2 linked regions of the Oreochromis niloticus genome follow. The protein of the gene in region 2 purifies or fractionates together with the protein of the main gene of each other region. This does not show direct contact. Links are inferred from orthologs where the notes say so. Each region holds a gene or a part of one and is shown on either strand. Other genes may lie near its edges. The genes, in order: uqcc2 and uqcc1.

The links.
Region 1: the proteins of uqcc1 (region 2) and uqcc2 purify together in Homo sapiens (co-immunoprecipitation; 3 studies listed by BioGRID and IntAct, counting the BioPlex papers as one, with this or other methods). This does not show direct contact. The link is inferred for Oreochromis niloticus from reciprocal best matches to the Homo sapiens genes UQCC1 and UQCC2.

Annotation. Positions count from the first base shown.
Region 1 is NC_031970.2:19,765,832-19,777,069, reverse strand, and holds uqcc2 (ubiquinol-cytochrome-c reductase complex assembly factor 2), read right to left. Parts: upstream 5,295-11,238; 5' UTR 5,264-5,294; coding exon 5,126-5,263; intron 3,643-5,125; coding exon 3,568-3,642; intron 2,969-3,567; coding exon 2,902-2,968; intron 2,795-2,901; coding exon 2,685-2,794; 3' UTR 2,629-2,684; downstream 1-2,628. Other genes in the region: tspo (translocator protein), read left to right, coding at 478-650, 761-899, 1,002-1,175; tomm6 (mitochondrial import receptor subunit TOM6 homolog), read left to right, coding at 5,427-5,524, 6,534-6,630; lg5h1orf74 (UPF0739 protein C1orf74 homolog), read left to right, coding at 7,099-7,893; sirt4 (NAD-dependent protein lipoamidase sirtuin-4, mitochondrial), read right to left, coding at 9,604-9,756, 9,848-10,142, 10,664-11,151.
Region 2 is NC_031970.2:3,100,009-3,111,448, reverse strand, and holds the start of uqcc1 (ubiquinol-cytochrome c reductase complex assembly factor 1), read right to left. Parts: upstream 5,302-11,440; 5' UTR 5,156-5,301; coding exon 5,075-5,155; intron 2,971-5,074; coding exon 2,866-2,970; intron 1,991-2,865; coding exon 1,883-1,990; intron 461-1,882; coding exon 388-460; intron 1-387. UniProt on the Homo sapiens protein: Required for the assembly of the ubiquinol-cytochrome c reductase complex (mitochondrial respiratory chain complex III or cytochrome b-c1 complex). Involved in cytochrome b translation and/or stability.

The sequences.
Region 1 (11,238 bases), about 17 Mb from region 2:
TACAGCAGTGATACTTTGATTTAACGTCTGTTGTGTAATGATGTATTGACTCTTAAATAAGTAGCATGTCTTTAATGTGTTGAAGCCATTCTGGTTGGTTATGAAGTATAAGCTTTTATTTATGTGGTGCAAGTGTCTATTATTGTGCTGAACTGTAACAGGGCTGGCCATTTGGTCTGCACAAATCGAATCTGATGCCATGCTTCAGTTAGTTATTAAATTTAATTTTTAACAGAGAAATTGACATATGCCTAATGCCTACCTTGAAATTTAAAAAACTGTTAAAAAAAAAAAAGTCTAAAACTAAAATGATCAAGGATGTGCGCATAACAAAATCCTCACTTTTTCTGTTACTGCAAATCCTGTTTAGTCAGTCATGGGACAGCAGATGCATTAGGCAGAAAAATTTGATACTTATACCTATGAATATCCACCCTTAGCGGAAGTTAAATGGCTGTCTTTTTCTTATCTCAGAAAATGTGGCTGCAAATAGCTGGGTTCACTGCCCTGCCACACCTGGGAGGGCTCTACGGTGTTTATATCACACGCAAAGAGGTAAATACCTGGTACCCAACCCTGAAGAAACCATCGTGGCGCCCACCAAACAAAGCATTCCCCGTAGTGTGGACGTGTCTGTACACAGGCATGGGGTAAGCACATTGTGACTGATTTCTGCATTATCTGTGAAGCAACCTCCTTATCTTAATGATCTCGTGTGATTTTTTTTTTGTTGTTGTTTTTTTTTGTCTTTCTCTTCCAGCTATGGTTCATACCTGGTGTGGAAGGAGCTTGGAGGTTTCACTGAGGATGCACTAGTTCCACTCGGGCTTTATGGGACACAGCTAGCTCTGAATTGGGCCTGGACTCCCATTTTCTTTGGTGCACACAAGCTGAAATGGGTAAATTTAAATTTGGACACCAATAATTAGGGGTGTGGTAAGTGTGGCAGTGTAGTTGTATACATCGCTGTCACTGACATGCCCTCTGTCTGTTCTTTTTAGTCCCTCATTGAGATTGTGCTTCTCACTGGGACTGTTGGAGCCACCATGATGTCCTGGTATCCCATCAGCCGCACCGCCACGATGCTCTTGGCGCCCTATCTGGGCTGGCTGTGCCTTGCAACTAGCCTCAACTACTGCATATGGAGAGACAACCCAGAGGAAAAAGAAGAGTAGGGATCATGACTGTGTGTTTTGAAGAGCATACTTATATTCTGAATCACGTACACAATGTTATTAAAAAAAAAAAAAAAATACTAATAAAAAAAACAGGTCAGTCTCACTTTTTAACTTCTGACTTTATTATCCAGCTGCTTTGTTATGACCTTGTTGGCTGGTCACAGACTTACTAATACTTGCGTATATGTTGCCCAAAATAAAAAGAAGAAAAATAAATAAAGATGTCATTTCTAAATAGTGGTATCCCCTTTAACATCTGCAGTACTTTAGATCTGAGCAGGCATTATGTTATCTGCTTAGATACTGTATAACAGCCTGCTTCTAATAAATTTATTTTGTTCCTTAAAAAAAAATCCCTTAAGAATTTCAGTGCATTGTCAGAAATGTCATTACTAATAGGAAAAACTGTAATATGATCAGAATATCTGATTACATTGAAAATAGTTAAGTCACCCCATCATGTGGAGTTTTGGTTGTTCAGTTTAAAACAAAGTTTTTACCTTTTTTTCTTAAAGAAGCGATGTTCAAAGTGTGAATTTATAATAAAACTGTGTAAACTAGTCCACGAAACATTTTTGCTTTGCAAGTAAATAATTTGAGTTAACGGTCAGGTGCATTTCTCAATCAGACACAAGCTTAACTGATTAAATCCTGCCTGGTGAGCCAACTCACAGCCGTGATGTAGACCAAATGTTTTTCAGCATTGTTTTTATAGACTTGTTTAAATGTAAGATTTCTTATCATATGTAAAAATTCAAGTCTGAACTAATAGAAAAACTCCAGGAAATTGAAGTTTGGTGTTACAGTCTTAACAGATTAGTGTTATTTTACAAACTGATGACTGTGGGTTATTTCCACCACACAGCCAGTGAAGGCTTATAAAAATATTTAGTTTGATTCAACAATATCCAACCAGCGAATATTCACAAAACTTGCAGCAGCTGACCTACAGCAGCAGAAGACCACACTGCTTGCTACTTCTGTCAGCTAAGAACAGCAAACTGAGGCTACAGTTCACATGTTCACTAAAATTGAACAAGACTGGAAAAATGTTGCCTTGTCTGATAGGCCTCAATTTCTGCTGCAACATTCAGATGATGGTCAGAATTTGGTGTGAATGGCATGAAAGCATGTCTCCATGCTGCCTTGTATCAACAGTTCAGGCTGGTCTCAGGAGGATGATGTATCGCATAACAAACTCAAATCATCTCAAACTGGCTTCTTATGGAAGTGAGTTCACTGAACTCAAATGGCCTCCACAGTCACCAGATCTCAGTCTAATATGGCATCTTTGGGATGTGGAGGAACAGGACACTCATCATAGATGTGCAGCCAACAAATTTGTGTGATGCTGTCATGTCAATATGGACCAAAATATATCCAAAAATATTTGTAAAGCTACAATTTAAATAAATATAATATATATTTTTTTTAAAAAAAGAGTCCAAAATGATAACAATAAGATTTATTTCTATACATATAGGAAAAGAAGATTGGAAGAAAAAGTTATTTTTCAGCAGGTTTCTCTGGGACGTCTTCTGGTGATTTAGAAGAGAATCTCTGCATTAACGACTTCCACAGACCCTTTTTTTCCTCGTCCGTATTTTGCATAGTTCCTGTAAAATGTAAAAGTTGGGTCTAAGTTACAGCAAGTTCCTGGGGCCTCATAACAACATTATGTTTAGTAAATAACCGAGAATTGACAGCACATGCGAGTCCATACCTGACAAAAGTAATCTACACTCTTCCACTGTGACTCCAGTGAAGCTCGTGTCTCTCACACGAGGAAACTGAAGAGAGAAAGAAAATAAAATTCTTATTGCCTTCGACAAGTTTTCACACAGGAATTTCTTTCAAAATGAAAAAAGTCAAATATTATATAAAAGTTCATTATGTACTCAAATAATTTGGTGTGCACAGTATTTGAAGGAGTCAGCTTCCCATTTTCTGCATTTCACATGCACAAGGAAAATTTCCCCTTAAAACAATGTGCCAAATTAATAGTCTTCCTAGAAAAATCTTTTTTTTAGTAAGTAAAACTTCCCTATTTATAGTAACTCAGAGAAGGAAGACAGACTATCTGCTGATCTCTGGATCTTACGTGAACACTTGCTGTCTTTATAGTTCAAATTTAAAGGTTAACTATTTTTAACCATTAACCTCGTGTGCTTGTTTAGACCTTTGTACTTAATGTAAACACACTTTATCATCTCCACACAGAAAAAAAAAAAAAGTAACTACACCTTTACAATCTTAAAGAATGGAGAAGTCATTCGCTAGGTGACAGATGTCTGGTTAACGACAGCAGAGGAAGGCACTGTGTTTTTCGTATGATATAATAAATATAATAAAGTTGAAATGCACCTCACATATGTGCATGAGTACTTACCCGCTGTCTGTATATGTTGCCATTAATCTGTGCCAGACTTTCATACATCTGATCACATTTCTCAGGATCTGAGATCTAGTGGGGAAACATTGAAGTGGTTAAGATGTGATTTTACTCACTCAACATGTTTTAAATGGAAAAAAAATATTCTCATTATTTTAATTATCAACTTTAAAGTCCAAACAGGTCATTTTGGTTTCCGTAAAAAAGGCATGAGGATGTGCGATGCACTGCCATGCTATATACGCTTGTGCTCTACTATGCCATCATAAAAATAAATAATCACTGTGCCACCATCTCTCTGGTGTCTGTGGGTTACATTTTTTAAATCTAATTCTTATTGGTCAGATCACACACAGTACAGAATCAAAAGGCAAAATAATGCTTGTACTGTGTTTAAGAGATGGGAGGTGAAATTCAACTAGAGCCAGGGTAAAACTTCAGTGTAATGCCAATTTGTACCACAAGATGGTGCTGCGAGTCAGTGTAAACTTTATTTATAAACTAGAGTTTTTTTGTTGGCACCTAAGATTCTGCTGGCATCAAACACCTATGATTATCAAAAACCATCTTTTTCCATTCCTTTTCGTTACTACTTATCCTGTTCAGAGTTGGTAGTGGGCTGGAGCCTATTCCAACTGTTATTTGGCAAAATATCTTATATTTTTTACATGTTATGGTTTACAATGCTCAAATGGTTGGCTTCTCAGAAATTTCATGTTTTAGAAACAGATTAAAGGCTGTTTAGTTGGTTGCAAACACTGATAGTTATTTTTATTTTCAAGATTTATTTAAAAAAAAAAGATGCATCCAAACTGGGTCATTCCATCTCAAATCATCGTGGACCTTCTGTTCGACCATCTCTCATTTACCAAAAAACTTTTTATGGTTTTAAATTTGGCCATTTATAATGACTGCTGTGAAATTTTAGCTTTATACATCAAACACCTTTCAAGATATATTTGTGAAAGGTGGTCCATTGACGCCGTTCCAGCAGGTTTATATATCCATTGAATATCTCAGATTTGTTTAAATACTTTACGATCTAAAGTTTAGACACATAATGATTGCTGTGAAATTTTACCTTATTATTTCAGATACTTTTTTTGTATACCAAGTGAGGCATTTAAGTTGAATGAAAACATTTTCTTCAGTTTTGTGACTAAGAAATGTAATGTTAGTAACTATTCTACTAATTTGGTTTTTCATTATTGTAAGATGCAACTGTAAACTATTCAGGAACTGGCACTGGTTGATATATGAAGCTAAAATTTCAAAGCAATCATTACAAATGTCCAAATTTTAAATCAGAGGCGGTTGAGTAGAAAATTTTCTAAACACCAGATGATTTCAAATTGACCCAGCTGCGAAACCAGCGGTGGAGTGATGGACATTAGTGGCTCAAACATGTCAATACTGGTCGCTTGTAGTTCGCAGAAATCTGCTTTGGATTAGGTTGTCAGCTGCTTGCTCTTCTAACTAAGCTGTCCTCTTAGCTTCCCTCGGTTATTTACAGCAGAGAGGAGTCCGTGTGTTGCTACCAGCTAAAATTCATTACCTGAGTATTTTCACCCTCTCGGAAGGCAGAGGCGACTCTCTGCCGCAGAAATGTCCCCAAGTCGCGGCCTTTCTTGGTCTCGTCTCTGGGCCATTCCTCACACAGCTTCAGAAACCGACGGTACCTGGTCGCAGACATCTTTGGTCATGTAACAGCACGTCCTGAGTGGAGCGAGGAGGACGTACGTTTTGGTTTGAGCTTTATCGCACACCGTAGTTGTGTAACATCTAAAACCTTCCCCCTTGACTCTTCGCCCTCGTTGCCGTTGTCTTTTCCTACCCCCAGGACGCACGTTAGCAACATGAGTGGGGCAAACGCTAAAAAGGGCTCTTCCCCCGGTGTGATGGAGTGGATCAGCTCGGCCTGTCGATTCGCAACAGATAGAAACGACTTCAGAAGGTGAGACTGAGCAGACAGCAGTGATAGTAAGAGGGTTTTTGGGGCGGTTAGCCGTGTTGCTAGCGTTAGCACTGGTGTGCCAATGGAGGAGTCTGTCCTTGTCCTCTCACTCACTAGGCTACACTATAACTAAAGAAACAGGCAATACAATTACAATTATGATCATCAGTTTAATCGAGTTGTATGATAATATTACCAGCGTAATAGTTATTTTTAGTTTGTTGATCAATGAACAGAAGATATGGACTAATCTAATCGATTAACCACTTTGTCAAACTTTAGGGAGAGTATAGTTTCTACTCTAAGGGCATCAGGAAGCTTAATGTATACAGTATGACAGGTAGCTAATTAGTCAATGTTTAGTGGCCAATTTGTTCAGGCAATTGGATCCCAGCAGCACATTATAACCTATGTAGGATTACCTGGACACCGGATTTGAGGAAGATCCTACTATTGTTTGCATATTAACATGCGATGGGTTTTTGTTTTTCTTTAATGTGTGGTTCTTCTGTCAGAGCTAGAAAATTCTCAACATCTGTGTACCAAATATGCCAAAATATTGGCTCCCCTAGGATTAAGGTGAATGCCACGTACCTGATATACTAGGTGTGATGGGAAGCCTATAAGATATATTTATATATTCATATATGTTTAAAAAAATGCCCTCCCTCTATAGCTGTGGGGTAGACCCAAGACATGCTGGAAAGGTTATATCGCTCAGCTGACCTGGGAAAGCCTTGGCATTTTACCTGGAGCAGGTGGTCTGAGGGAAGTCTGAGCTTCTCTGCTTAGGTTGCTGCCTCCAGGACCTAGCCTAGCCTAGCTCTGGATAAACAGAAGAATATAAATTAATAGATGGATGAGGTTATAGATACCTGTGGTCTTATAAATTTATGTTTACTCAGTTTCCCCTCACAGCAAAACCTGTAGCCACAGGTTGAACAGGGTGTTGTTGCTGTTGATGTCATTACTGATTGTTTAAACCTTTTTTCTTTTTCATTTTTTTAAGGAATCTTCTGGTGAATTTGGGCTTGTTTGCAGCTGGTGTTTGGGTTGCAAGAAATCTCTCCGATTTCGACCTGATGTCTCCTCAGCCAGTGACATAGCGTGACCCAAATACATCACAGCCAGGATGATGGTGAGGTTATCTTCTTTATTAGAGCTGGAGAGAGGTGTGATCTGTGTGCACACCTCTAATGAACAAAAGCAGAATGCATTTATCACCGAATAACTGCTGTTTTTCTACAGATTATTCTGACTGACATGTTTCTTCTCCTTTAGGCATCCTGGACCAACAAAGAAGAAACAGTGGACACAAATAAACTCATGAAACAGTTTTTATGACTAGTTTTAGTTTGAAAACTTTTGTCTGGTTTACTTGTGTTACATCCATTGACCTTTTGTTTGACCATTTGTTAGTTGTTGTTTTTTTTTTTAACCTTTCTTGTAAGTGTAGATTACAACTGTGCAGTTTACTTTTTGTCTTTGATTCCAGCTAAACAGCTACTTAAAATTGAAATATCTCTAGTCCTGCTTGACTCCTCAGTCTTGTGTGACGTGATTTTTATGCAGTCATGTCTGCTTCAGAGCTCTTTGTTGCTGCTGCTCGTAAGTATCTGTCTGCTGGTAGAAAGTCCCTCTCCGCTCCTCAGAGTCTGGACCTGGCTGCTCAGGTGTCAGCTGTAGATTTGGGATTGAAGCCTGCTGTTCTGTACGATATTAACGGTGCCTGCGCAGAACAAGTGGAGCACTATCTGAGCTCTTTGCAGTCTCTCCAGCTTGTGTCTAAATCGCTGCTCACGCTGGATTTAAATGGAAATGGTCTCATTGTTAATCCGGTCACAGTCAAGTCAAATCTAGAGCAGGTTCTTCATGAGGGGAGCAGCGTGGCCGTGATTGATGTCTGCCACTCACAGGAGTCGCCCACCCTCGCTGATCCGCTGAGGGGAGACCTGAAGTGCATGATACAAGATTTACTACTTCTACTGGGAGGGGTGCAGCAGCTTGACGAGGTTGAGAGGCTTCTCAGTGGCGGAGAGAAATGTGAGGAGTGGAACCTGTGTACTGTGTTTGGGCTGTTACTGGGTTACCCCGTCACTTACTGGTTTGATCACACGAAGAGTTTCGACAACTGTCTGTCCATGACTCCCCTCACGGTGGTTACGGCTTCAGCAACATGGCAGCCAGATACTGCAGCTCACAGATGTTGTCTGTATTCCTTCAGCGTCCCAGCTGCTCTGCAAGAGGAGATAAAGTCTGACCTGGAGACCTGGAAACTCCGTCTGCAGCAGAGATTTGAGCAGCAAAACCTCCTGAAAGATCTCACGATTAATCAATCTGTAGTCACACTGCCCTCGGTTTGTTTGTGAACATGATGTAATTTTGTCTTTAAAGCAAAATGCTCTGGGTTATGTTTGATTATTTATGACTGTAATAAACACTGTCAAAACAGCTGTTGGGTTATTGACGTGGGCGGCAGGTTCCAGGAGAGGGAGACCACCTGATCAGAGTTAACTATATTGTTATTGACCTCACTCATGAAAATACCGACTATAATGCAACATGACCTGACAATACATAACTCAGGTTAAGACTAGTGTGAGAAAAAGGTGTTTTGTTAGAGCGGGATGTCAAACTACATACAGCCCACTCTGATCTTCAGCGGGCCGCAACAGTGAAACTCCACTTTCTGTCAGTGTAAAGTTTAACTACACGTTTAATCTCTGAGACATGTTAATATCAGAAAAAGCAGTGCGATTTCTACAGCATATCTCAGTTTTTCCACGGATACAGAAATGCTGCTGTAGTTAATGGAAAAATCTGTCAGCACGTCTCTTCAGGCTTAAGTTGGGAGATAAATGTTACAGAAAAAGATCTGGTAGCCTCATGCTCAGACTACTTTGTAATTAGAAAAGAGAAAGTCTCTGTTAATTCAGATTTTTTTCTTACTATGCACACATTGTAAAAGACAGACATTTCTGTATTATACAGGAAATGTTCTGTAATTTCATTGTTATCTACTGCTTAATTACTTTGGTGTAGTATGAATAGCAATGAGGGAGCTCTTTATCAGCATGAAAACTTATGAAAATACATTCAGTCCAAAATTTTACATTCTTCGTGTTTTCAAAAGTCATGCAGGACCAGATTGGAATCTTTGTTATCTGATTCTGGCCCCTGGGCCTTATGTTTGATACACCAAGGTTTGAGACTTCTTTAATGATGAATATTTCCATCTTGCAAGTGTGATAATAAATTAAAAAAAAACAACTCTTATTTTCTGAATATTTTATTACAGAAAGTTTTCACCACATAACCTTAAAAAGACAGCATAATGCCACTTTAAAATCCAGCCTGAAAAAATATTAATTCAACCTACTTTAAACTGAAATTCACAAAAACTGATTAAAATGAATATGGCAGCATTTAAAATCAATCAAAATACTAACCATCTGAGTATTGCATAATTAAAAAAAGGAAGAAGAACAAATTGCACCTTTTAAAACAGATCTGGTGGCAGAACATGAAAATAAACATTTATATTGCATCTTCCCATCGACATAAGAGCAGCCACCATGTGTGTTTTTGTCTTATCAGAATAAGAGCGTTTGATTCCAAAGGTGTCGTCAGTACCTAGTGATGGTGCTTTGTGTGTTTGATAAGACTTGAAAAGACATTCTACATGAATGCAGTCCATTTATAAAGTGAAAAGAGCTTGAGGAAGAAAACGGGGTACCTCTGTTTTTCTTCAAGCCTGCAAATTTTCATTTCACTTCACACATCTGACCTGCATGCCATTATTATTTCAACCTAAAACCAACAATCACACAACAAAGCACAGTCTTTCTGTTTTCCTGGTAGGTTGACATTTGATTGCAGAGACAGGATTTCAGCTCCCTGACACCAACCTGCTGTATGAAGATCAGCTGGATTCAAGTCTGACACATTTATAGCTCACAATTATTAACATTCAGTCACCTGCATACAGCGTGTAACAACAGAGAGCAACTGTTTCCATAAATCTGAGGTAGTTTTAACCTAACCAGCAGAGCACTTCAAGCTTTTTAGGCTGCGGTCAGTCAGAGCGGCTGAATGACTGACAGCACTTCCCCGCAGCGGCCGCTGACTTTCAGCTCAGCCAGGTGGTCTGCTCGGGTGGGCCCTATGTTCAGGATGGCGACCGGCATCTCCCTGTCCCTCGCTGCCAGTAAAAACCTGTATCCTGAGTACACCTGAGAAACATCAATGAGGAACAACGTATTCAGTCAAGAAACAGTGTGCTGAACGCTAACAAACTGGTTTACTAGTTTATCCAAGGCCCACCTGTAAAGATGACCCCACAACGAGCACCGCATCCGACTCTGCCAGCCTTTCGTGCACAAACTGCACAGTTGCTTTGTTCACGGAGTCTCCAAAAAACGTGACCTCAGGCTTCAGTATCCCGCCGCAGTCATCACAGGAGGGAACTCTGAAATGGAGGACCTGCTCATCCTCCAAGAAGACGTCTCCGTCTGGGGCCACGGCGCCAGCCTGAGCTCGCCACTCTGGGTTTAAAGATATAAATCGCCTCTGGAGCTCCTCCCGTGCTGAGATGGCACCACAGCCAAGGCACGTGACCCTGAGGATGCCCATATTTCATACTCAAAAAATGTCTTCTAGTCAGTTAACATGCAAACAGACAGCATTTCCTAATAACTCCTGGTGATGCAGGGTGTGTGTTTTAATTACTGTCACCAAACCAATGTCTGGAGTCCCAAAGCCTTAGAAACGGCTTTGTAATCCTTTACAGACTGATGGATGTCAGTGATTCTCAGCTGTTCTTGAGTTTCTTTGGATCGTGGCATGATATATTGAGTCGATTTGTGACACTGAAGTCAGTTTTTCAGGAAGGGGGTAAATGCTTTTCACAGAACTGCAGAATATAGTGGTGATTGTACATGAAAACATCACTAAAGTAATCCAACATTTTGCCAATGACACCTGGAAACTTTTACCTACATGGCATTCTCAGTGCATGGCTTTTGCTCACAAATAAGTAGTGTTTATACAGTACATTGTATTGTATTGTTGTAACACTGCCATTACTTCTTATTTGACGCTTATTGTCTATGATGCATATGTGAGTTTATGCGTTCTCACCTGTGGGCACAGCCGTGGAGCTCTGTGAGTCTCTTCTGACCCGCCTTTGAGTGAAGAGCATCTACATTCTGCGTAACCAGCCAGTGCAGCTTGCCCCTGTCCTCCCACCGCTGCAGGGCCTTGTGTGCAGAGTTCGGCTGGTGGGAGGAAAACTGCGGCCATCCGACGAAGTTTCTGGCCCAGTAGCGCTGACGGGACTTTGCGCTGCGGACAAACTCTGCGTACTGCATGGGTCGTCTGTCAGTGCGGGCGTACAGCCCGACGCCCTCTGAACGGTAATCGGGGATGCCCGACTCCGTGGACAGACCCGCTCCGGTGATGACAAACAGGCGTCTGGCTCGGGTCACAAAGTCCTGCAGCAGCTCCAGTGAGTGGGCGTCGGTGGTGCTGCAGGCGGGGACAAAGTTCATCAGCCCTGCAGGGACTGAGGAGGCTCTCCTTACAGGTGCTGTGTGTGGAGCCAGGACCCGCCATGGCAGCCTCATCATCTGCAAGCAGACGTTAAACAAACACACTTTTTGACACCATGTTTTTTTTGTTTGCTTTTCCCCACGTCAAATAAAAGAAAATTACCT
Region 2 (11,440 bases):
AAACGACTGTTTTTACGCGTTGTCGTTAGCAACAATGAAGGTAAACCCACCGTGTGGCTTTGACAATAAAGCTGAAGATCCTGTTGAGATTTTTCAAAATAAATGATGACAAACAGAAGGACCAATCAAAACAAATCGTGCACTTTATTCCTAAACGAGGGGCTGCCTCTGTAGCACGGACATGGTTTGGTTACGAGAAGTCTAACACGGACCAGAAAACTGCAGTATGCAAACACGACAAAGCTCTGCTACCACCTACGCCAGAGTCATGTGACAGAGTGTGAAGAGAGTTTACGGATGAGAAACAACAAAGAACTGACAGGTGCTCAAGAGCCGAGTTGCATTGTGGGAGATGCAGCATTTTGAAGCCGAGCGCCGTAAACTCACTTTCGAAGAACTCGTCGTAGTTGATTCTCTCCACGCAGCATGTGTACATCCGCAGAGCAGCAATCTTGATTTTCTGTGGAAACAAAAACATCACGTCTGACGTTGTTACTCTGTAACTACAACCACAATATCGCACAGGGGAGTCGGGCGTTCGTGAGGGGAAGTATTTCAATCAGCTGATTCTCGTGATGTCACTGACATTCAGAAATGGAGGAGGGGCTTAGTGATGGCGTTTGAGGGCAGCTGAACATGGTGTAAATGAAGGAAAACACCAACGAAGCTCTGCTGCCTTGTGGCAAACATTCATAGGAAAGGCCTCGGCAGGCGACCCTCCTGCGATGGCGCCGAAACACAACACAACAGGAGGTGTAACACAACTGGCTTCCTGTTGAAGCTTTCAGGGGACCACGCTGCCCTCCATATCAGCCTTTACACAGCAGTGGCCACAGTGCAGACAGTCATCAACCTGCTGGCTGTTGGGGTGAAGCGACTGTATTGTGTGGGAGTAATTTCGCTTCCTGTCCAGTGTGAATGCGCCACTACACTTCCATTACCAACATTTGTCAATGGAAACAGGGGGGCTAAAAATGACATCAAATAGGCAAACTTATCCAAATGAGTTTGTCTGGTTCAGCAACTTTCAGCTGGAAAAGCGACTCGCCAACAGGTTTCATTAAACAACAGCGAGCACGCATTTCTGTGGGATTATTCTGGGATTTAAGGCTGATCTGTGCGTCTCCGACGGCGGTTTCATCTGTAGAGTAAACACGCGCAGGAGCAGGACACGAGTTCGGAGGTGTGCCAGCATGCGAGCCAAACGCTGCCCCGGCGTGCGGCCCAGCTCTTTGCTCGCCCGACATTCCTCAGCACACACGCAACCTTTCCACCTTCCGCCAAAACCTCCCACATCACCGAAGCCTGCCACCGCGCCAACTGTTTATTCCTTTAATGACCTGTGCATTCCTGGAAACCATACCGACTACAAGAGTGTGATGCAATGAATGAAAGCCACACGCACATGCACGTGCACACACACACACCTCTGGTGAATATCACTCCCACTGCAGTGACGTTATTAGTATTTTTGGCCTTCTGCATGCAACATCTTCCATAACAAATGTTTTATTACTCTGTTGTGTCCAAGTTCAGTTTGGTTTTATTCAACCACAGAGAGCAGGAGGTGAAACGCTGCGCTGGCCGTACAGGTAGAAACGTCTGACCCGACACGTTTGTTTCTGTTACTGGTTGACCAATCAGGGTGGCACACATTCATCAGAAGGTGCGTTTAAAGGAGGTTAGCATGATGCTTTTGACTGAAAGGTTGTTCGAGTGCAGAACAGACACGTCAGCAGGTAACAGGTGGCCTTGGAGGCACATTAAATTTAACATGACACTAAGTGCTCACGTTGATTTCACGCATCAAATGAAGCAATGTCACCTTGGCCGAAAACCCCTCATGCTCGTTTTCAGCCCACATCTCACCCTCTGCACTCACCCATTTATTGTATTTGAGCGGTCCCGTGAAGCCCATCGCCTCGATGAGCTTTGTGAAGGCGCCGACCTCCTCCTCCGTGTGCTGACGCGTCTCCTTCACGTTACGGAGCTGAAGGACAAAAAGAAAAAGTGGAGCGGTGAAAAAACAGCAGCGAAAACAGAAAATGCTCCTTTAGCAGGTGGGATATCAAACGTGTGCTGCGTGACCCTCGTTAAATCAACAGCACGTGACGACGCACCTGTGCGGCGCAACCTTTACCGCTCACTAAATTAATACGCTGACCTACTCCGAGCTGCACGCCGTCTTTGACAGTTTTATTACAGCCACCACGAAGCCGCTAACCTTCATCAGGACGTGCAGATGTGCTGAAGTTTTCTCCCAGTTTTGAAGCTTCATTGAAGCCTCGAATACACGGAGCAGGCAGGAAGTGCTTTAAAGGCACGGATACGACACGACTGAACTCAGAATTCCTTAAAATAATCCTGAAATCCAAGCAGGTGTGTAAAACTACAGGCTGAATAATCAAACCTTTAAGGAGAGAAATTACAGTTTATTTGTTTTTATTTAAGCAGAAAATGTGAACAGACACATGTTGTTTAGCTAGTGGACACTTTTACAGAGATAATAAAAGGTGTAAAGGGATAAAAATCATTTAGCAGATGCAGGGACGCATCGATGATAGCAGGGGCAAACTGTACCCACTGCACTCAGGAGGAGGCAAAATACCCCCGAGATGATGGAGCTGGAATTGACCGAGTGAAGACAAAAGTGTTATTTATCGGCAAAGAGTATATATTAATTCTTATTTTAAGAATCAGAAAAGCTAATAAAACAGAGAGCGCCCCTTCTTTTGTGCTTTCTGTTGGGCATATCGGTGGCCCAGCCGCTGGGACAAAAGAGCTGCTGCACAGGTGTTTTTAAGCAGTCCATCTGTGGGTTAAACAATGAGAGCTATTTGTTCATGTGCTTGCGTGCGGTGTTACCTGTGTGGCGACATGCAGCGTCCGGCACGGCGTTACTAACGGAGAGGAGACGCCTGCCTGCTGACAGGCGGCCAGCGCTCTGAAACAGGCTTCCTGATCCAACGCCTGCAAGGAGAGAGAAGTTAAGTCAGCTGAACACAAACAATCGACCGTTTTATTTGTCGACTTGTTTTTAAAGACGGATCAAACACCTGCTCGTCTCCCACTAACAGCAGTGATCTTCACATCACAGCTCAGTGTTGTTCTCACCAGCTATAGCCAGTTTTCATCACCCTTTAGCATTTTTTGTTTGGACTGCACAGAAACATCCTTCGTTAACCCTCTGACAGCTGGACAGGCTTTTCCTGAGTGAACATTTTACACCTTAATAAAAACTGATTAAGTCTCTGCACCACCCAACTTCACTGAGTAAAAAGACCTGCAACAATAATCTGATTAATTGATCTGATTAAGTTCATTCAGATTTGTAAAAACATGATGTAATTTAAAACCTTTCAAAATAAACTAAAGCTCAAAGAGAACGAAGAGACCACTGCTATGAGCTGAAAGCATAAACTCCTACATACTGTGTCAAAGAGATACTGAGGGAACGAAAAACAAATATCAAACCTCAACAGCACAGCAGTCAACATCTGCAAGCAACAACACAACCGCTGGCAAAGCTTTAGTTCAATTCTCAAAAACATTTAGTACCTAAAGAACCTTTAGGTCTTTATCTGGTTGTTGCTTTAAATGGTGGTTTTTGAAACAGATGCTGTACTGCACATGTGCAAAGAGCTCATTCAGGGTGCAGCTTAAAGCCTCTGTCACAGACTGTATCAGCCAGGCCTGTGGCAGAAGACAAACACCTCGAGCTTTCAAAGCGGTGCCAAAATAAAACTTCACCACACTCAGAAAGAAATGCATACAAGACTGAGAAAGTGGGGCCACCTCCTCTGGGTCCCGAGTGCATTTAAGATGATCAGACATGAGGGGGTCACCTTTCCTGTGAGCTGAATAATCAATAACCAAAAAGCAACCCTACACTTCCCACAGCTCAAAAACCAGCACCTGTGACGGACTGATGGTCTGCTTATCTGTGAAGGCACCATTTATGCCAAATAGTATTTCAGACTTCACAATAATATTTACTGCGCTCCAGTCTTTTTCCAGGTAAAGCACTGCTTACTTCAGCGAGACGATGCCCAAACATCCTGCATGTATTAAAAGAGCCCGCGTGCTGAAGACACCCTGGACCCTCAGACTCTGATATTAATGTCCAAACTTGTGCTTCAAGTTTAAATGTTGCTGCTCTTGCTAGTCAGCACTAAAAGTAGTAGTCAGTTATCCTCACTTTATTATAGTGCAGCGGCACCTTGGTGCGCAGGCCTGACACACAACAGCACCTCTCCGAAATGTAACCTAGTCCACTGTGCTCAGTTTATTGTTTTCTCACATTTGGATCAGCTGACTAGATGACGAGTCCCTGAACTGAACTTCTGGACCATGTTTGTGCCCTTTTAATGCAGTTATCTGATTAATAATATGGCTGCTGTGCCACATTATTTGTCATATTTTACTCTGCTCCAGTTTTTGTCAGTAAACCATTGGACGGTCTATACTGGTCTATTTGTTGCACCCACATGGTTTGTGGATACAGCCTATCACTCAACCCTCGTTCACTTCTACCTCCTAAAAACATCATCATCATAATCATCATCATCAACATGCCAACACAATAACACAGAGGCTATAACATACAGACAACACAAACAGCTGACACGTCCATCATTTACATACAGTCTATGGTTCGGTGACCCATTAAAATATCTGGACCAAAACGAAGCTCGAACACGTGACTGATGACGCTGGTCCTTTACAGAGTAATTTCATTATCTCGGGTGCCAAACACTTTATTATTCATATATGACAGAAGCCTCGGTTTGAACGTGTGATGTAGTGTTTCTGTGCTCGGTGTAAAGAAAGCCGCACTTTCGAGCTGTTACTGCGAGTCTTTGGTCGAGTTCGCCTCCATTAATCTGAGCTCTGACATTAATCCTGCTAATGGAGCTCGCAGGCCGTCCGTGTGAAAGTCAAACACACACGGAGACAAATGAGCGCTCACTCCGTCACCTGTCGCTGTGTGTTCACCCGGCTGTCACCTCGAACATCAGCCTCAACTTCTTCACCTGTTAGCCGGCTAAGCTAACGCCAGCGAGGCGTTTCTTACCTTGCCCCCGGCGGAGGCGGCCCTGCAGGCGGACACATGAGCGACGCTTCTGGCGGCGAACTGCAGCGGCCGCCGGTACATGACTGCACGAAGACCCGCTGTTAGAGCCGAGAAGCGGGCTGCAGATTCACGGAACCTCCCTGCACTGAAACCTTCTGGTTTGGTAACAGCAGCAATGTCAACGGAATCTGTCCGGCACTGAATAGTGTCCGGGTAGAAATATACAAAGTGAAGAAAAGGTCCGCTTTTAACCCGCTCCGATTAAAGTTGAATCTTTCATTGCTGGAAAAAGAACTTGGAGCCTTCACTGAAGTTAAGCAGGAACACTGCACTGCAAAAATACCATTCAAGTGAAAGTATACTTAAAGCGCTAAGCTCAAGCATATCAGGGTAAGATAAGATAAGATAAGATAAGGTGTCCTAACCCCAAAACGCCTTTTTTTCTTACAGCGGTTAAAAATTCAATAAAACACAAAGTGCTGAATAAGAAATAGACATTGGATAACAACAAAAATCACAATTTAGCAAAAAAGCATCTTAATAAGGTAACAAAATACAATCAAATACATATAAACACACACACAAACACACACACACACACACACACACATATATCTATCTACATATATATATATATATGTATATATATATATATATATATACATATATATATATATATATATTACAAAGTCACAAAAAGTAAGGCCAGATGGCCCCGCCCTGCCTGGTTCTGCTGGAAGTTTCTTCCTGTTAAAAGGGAGTTTTTCCTTCCCACTGTCACCAAATGCTCATAAACAAACATTTTTATTGTAATTCCACAAAGAGCAAAGTAACTGTACACCGGAGGATAACAAGCTTTGTAAGAATTAAATCTACTGATAACGACAAATATGACCTTGACCTTGAGTGCATTTCCAGCGAAGACCTATTATCATTGTGTGTAAGCTTTGACCAATCCTCCAGGAGGTCTGTGGAGGGATGGACAAACAAATGTCTCACCATAGCACGAGCTTATAAGCCCTTTGGCTGGGCTAAAATAAATTGGACTCATAATTTTAAATGTTTGCTTTCCATCCCACAGAAAATAGGATTTTCATGACTGGGTTAGAGCTCTCCTTCCAGGAATACTGCAGTGATGCAACATTTCCCACCAAAGTCACATTCAAGGATGAAACAGCAGGCTGACATAAACCATTATTATTCTTTAAATCTGTAAAAAGTCTTTGACAAGGAAACCGATTACCTCTCGGTCAAACTTGCTTTGTAGTTAGAGCCAATAAACAGTGAAAACATCAGTGGGACACATTAAGACTTTAAAAACAGTCTCATGTTCTCTGTGGACACAACAGCTGAGGTAATGTTTGAGTTGCCCCTCCATCACTTTCAGTTTTTCCCGTGTCTCAGCTGGAAGTGTTTGTGTGTGCGGGGGTTTCTGTCGTGTTGCAGTTAGAAGGTCACAATCATTAACGGTAACCTTCAGCAGAGAGTTGCACTGTCGACACCTCAGCCTGAACGTGAGAGAGGACAAATATTGTTCAAGGCCAGAAAATGAAGTGTTCCTTCAGAAGAAAGACAAACAGGAGTCCAGAAAAGACAAAGAGAAACAGAAGGAAAAGGGTGTGAAGAGGGAAAAGTGGAAGGTCGAGTGGATTTTCACGGAGGAAATGAAATCAGCGGCGTCAGATCGATGCTGAACACCAACTCTTACAAAAATACTGCAGCGCTGAGTTATGAGACACAAACGAGCCGGAGAGGCCAGGTCTGGTTTCTGCTTCCTCTGCAGTCAGTCTGAAGTTTTCCTCCCTGCGCTGACCTCACCTGACAACACGCGCGCACACACACACACACACACACACACACACACACACACACACACACACACACACACACACACACACACACACACACACACACACACACACACACTCGATCTAAATCTTCCAATTTCCCTCCAAGGAACTTACTCCAAATCCAACAGACTGCCGGTCAGACCCCAATTCCAAAAAAGTTGTTTAAAATGTAAATAAAGTAGAATCCAGTGATTTACAAATCTCACTCTATAAACAATAGCACATAGAAAAGATGAGAAAATGTTCAATTTCTATAAAAATATGAGCTCATTTTGAACTTCATAGCAACTGCTTGTCTCTAAAACCATGTTTCCCACTGTGCAGCATCCCCTCTTCTTTTAACTACAGTCTGTGAACATCTGGACTTCCAGGAGAAGAATATTGTCCCATTCTGGTCCGATGGAGGAGTCTAGCTGCTCAGCAGTCCTGGCTCTTCTTTGTCCTGCCTTTGGTTCCATGATGCTCCAGATGTTCTCAGCTGGTGAAAGGTCTGGACTGCAGGCACTCTTCTGCTGTGAAGCTGAGCTGCCGGATGCCGTCTGTGGTTTAGCATCATCCGGCTAAAATATGAAAGCCTTCTCTGAAAAAGGTGTGATCAGGTTCAGACTTATGCTGTTTTAAATCCTCTGTGTACCTTTCAGCATTGATGGGACCCCTCCCTCCTGAACTGGATAAGTGAGAGATAAGCGATGTCTTAATGAACTGACGGGAAATTTTTATAAACTGGAAACAAATGAATAAAAAGCGTAATTGTTTATTAACCTGAGGGAAGACATGCAGATTATTAACTGTAGGGAAAAGGTTAAAAAAACCTTCGGGAGTGTATTAACAATCTGGCCTGATTTAGCTGCAAACACAGGCTTATTAATGGGTGTTTTAAGCCCTAATGTTTTCTGGTTTCACAAATAAAAATAGAAGATTATCTAATGTTATAATGAACTGTAGTTTCAGGTTTAGTTAGGGTGGCGTTAGGCTTAGGTCAGAGACTGAAGGTTTAAATGCTTCAGATGCTTAGACTTTAGGAAATGCCAGCACACACGCTGGTTTACACGAGAACTAAATGAGCATCCGCTCTTTAAAATGATACGGTCCAACCCTGCGATGCCTGTAGAGACGCAGCAGGTATCCTGTGGATGAGATAATATATTCCACTTGTGCATTCACTTTTTGGAGGTGGGCACAGTCCAAACACGCTTTTTTGTTTTTTGTGTGATTGTCTGTGTCTGCGCTTGTGCGTTTTTGTATTAATAAAGAGTGATAAATGACAGGCGGAGAGGAAGTGCTGGATTCCTGCTCGGCTCCTGTTTCTGTGAGAAACCTCGCTAAAGAAAGCAGACATAAATAATGGCTGCCACGCCGCCATCCTGCCTGCGATACACTGCGTCTGTGTTCTTGTATTACTCATGTTGTGGGGACAGAAGTCTGTTTACACAGTCACGTTAAAGGGAACGACTTCCTTTGGAGGACCTGAAGCATACTGCTGTCACGTTCACTGAAGAACCGAATAAGCTTAGTTTAAGTTTAAGATTTAGATTAGGTTTAGGAACATAACTCTTGAGCTTTAGCACAATATTCCAGTTTTAGGAGACAGACCCTCTCTTTTTTGAAAGACTTTTCCATTTTGATAATTTTATACTTAGTCCTGGATCAGGTGATCTGGACTCAACCTTTGGTTATGTTGTTATTAGCCAGCGAAACTGTTACAAAGAGACACGGTGCTCAGAGAGTCCTGAAGTCAAATCGGTGGGTGAGCTCTGTAAGACCAAAGATGGTCGTTTACTTCCAGATGATAAGAGAATGGATGGCCTCCTCTGGGTTGCTGCCCAAAGTGACCGAGTTCAGGTATGTTGTATGATGTTTTCAGGCGATGGGAAAGTGGCGCTTGAGATGTATCAGGCCATCATGGTGGAGAAGGATTTTAGCTGGATGGTGATGCTTTTGTTTTACTATCAAATCTAAATCTACGCCAGTCCCCACCTGTGGTCATGAGCTCATGGTAGTAACTGAAAGAATGAGGTTGTGGATGCAAACAGCCAAAATGAATTCCTTCGTAGGGTCGCTGGGTTCAGCCTTGGAGGATAACACGCCAGACATCTGGAAGGAGCTTGGAGTGGAGTTGCTTCTCCTTCATGTCGAGACGAGCCAGCCATCTGATTAAAATGCTGCCTGGCACTTTGCCTTGGAGGTGCTCTGTCCCAAATGAGAGAAAAGAGATTATGTGTCTTGTCTAATAGCAGTACCTTCTGAATCACCAGGAGCCAGGTTAGAAGGGAAATAGATGACTGGAATACCCTGGATGGATGGATGGATGGATGGATGGATGGATGAAAAGCTTTATAAAAGCCAGAGTTTGGATAAAGTTAGAAAACATTTCAAGTACTTTTGTTTGATCAGATTTGATTGTACACATACATTCATGTGGCCAGAAGCAGTTCAGGATGGTTGCAGAGTGGTGAACCTTGTTTCTGGAAGGACTTTGTATTTTGTACTCAGGCTGCTGGAGGACTGAAAACTTCTTCACTCCTCTCTTTTCAGGCTCCATGTATTTGCACATATTTTCTCCTCTCAGAAAATGGCTGGCTCTCCCTGAGCCTGGTTATGCTGGAGGTCTCTTCTTTTGTTTCTCTCACTGGTTTCCAATGTGTCGGACTAATAAAGGCTTATCTTATCTTATCTTATCTTATCTTATCTTCCAAGTGCTTCCTCACAGGGTCACAGGTCATCGTCTGACTGTTGAGGTTCTCTCTCTATAATCATTGGGTTTTTATTTAGCAATATGAAACATTTTAACATGGTCTAAAACTATGGGCTCAAAATGTGGTCATAAATATTTTGTACTTGTAAATCAGTTTTGTATGTGTAAAAAGAATTTGTGCGTGCGTAAAAAAGATTTGTATGTGCAGGGGGGTTTTTAGCTAAGTCCACACACAAATCTTTTTTACACATACAAATCTTTTTTACGCACGCACAAATTCTTTTTACACATACAAATCTTTTTTACGCACGCACAAATTCTTTTTACAAATACAAATCTTTTTTACACACACACAAATCTTTTTTACACATACAAATCTTTTTTACGCACGCACAAATTCTTTTTACAAATACAAATCTTTTTTACGCACGCACAAATTCTTTTTACACATACAAATCCTGATTTACAAGTACAAAACTGATTTACAAGTACAAAATATTTATGACCACATTTTGAGCCCATATAAAACACACACACACACACACACACACACACACACACACACACACACACACACACACACACTTCAGATATTCATATCTGGTGGGGACATCTAATTGACATAATGGTTTCCCTAGTCCCTAACTCTAACCCTTACTCTAAGCCTAACCGTAACCCAACTGTAACCCTGACACTAAAATCACATTTTAAGTCACAAAAATGCCTTCAAACGTGTTGGGACCAGGATCTTGGTCCCCACAAGTATATGAATACACACACACACACACACACACACACACACACACACACACACACACACACACACACACACACACACACACACACACACAGGTCCTGCCTCTCCTCAGACACACACACACACACACACACACACACACAGGTCCTGCCTCTCCTCAGAGGCACGTAGTAAAGTGTGTGTTCATGCTGTGTGTTTCTGTTCCATCAGCTGCTCTCACTGCAGGACAAGGAGTCATGAACGTCTCACCGGAGTGCGAGCACCTTGTTCCCACATGGCCTCGGTCTGAAAGAGTCAGGCCCATTAAGAACCTTTTTAGCACTAAAATACAGGAGCCATTAAATTGACCTGCAACAGATGATTGCAGCTCTAGATTAGATTCAGAGGCAATTAACTTCTTAATGAAAACGGCTGAATTAAGCACACGCTGCTGTACAGTAATGGGATCTGGAAAAGAATGAAAGTACACTCAGAAAAAGTTTATAAATGCAGTCAGATGGGGGTCCTCCTGGGGGGTCTGTGCACTGAACCTTTAAGCTTCTCTCACTGCTTTGACCAACTTGGTGATTTTCTTCCTTTCTCCACCAATCTGAGAGGGATACACACTGAGACACGGTGCACTGATTATAGCTGAAACTAACCTCAGGTACCGAAACCCTGGTAAGGTAAAACTAAGCTCAACTGGTGAGGCAGCTGTTTATGTGTTAACTTTGATTTAATCTCCTGGTTATGGTTTGGTTTTGTAAAGTGGACAAACAGCCACACTGCTTAGCATGTGCGGGGAGAAAAAGCATGAAAAGTGAAGAGTTTGCTTTAATTGGTTTGTTGTCTTCCGTTTGGCTCTTAACTGCAGAAAGTAGCAAAAACTCAGAAGATTAAACGCTTGAACGACTTTTGGGATCCCAAAGTACGGAAAAAAAGTATAAAATACGAACCCGAACCCTGATTTCAATCTGCTTACATCATCTACTCGTGCACCTCTGAGCTGTGTTTGGTGTGGCTGCTGTTTTCAGATCTCACAGTCAGCTGTTATCTGTGCCTCTGCGCTGGCTGCTGGATCTCCT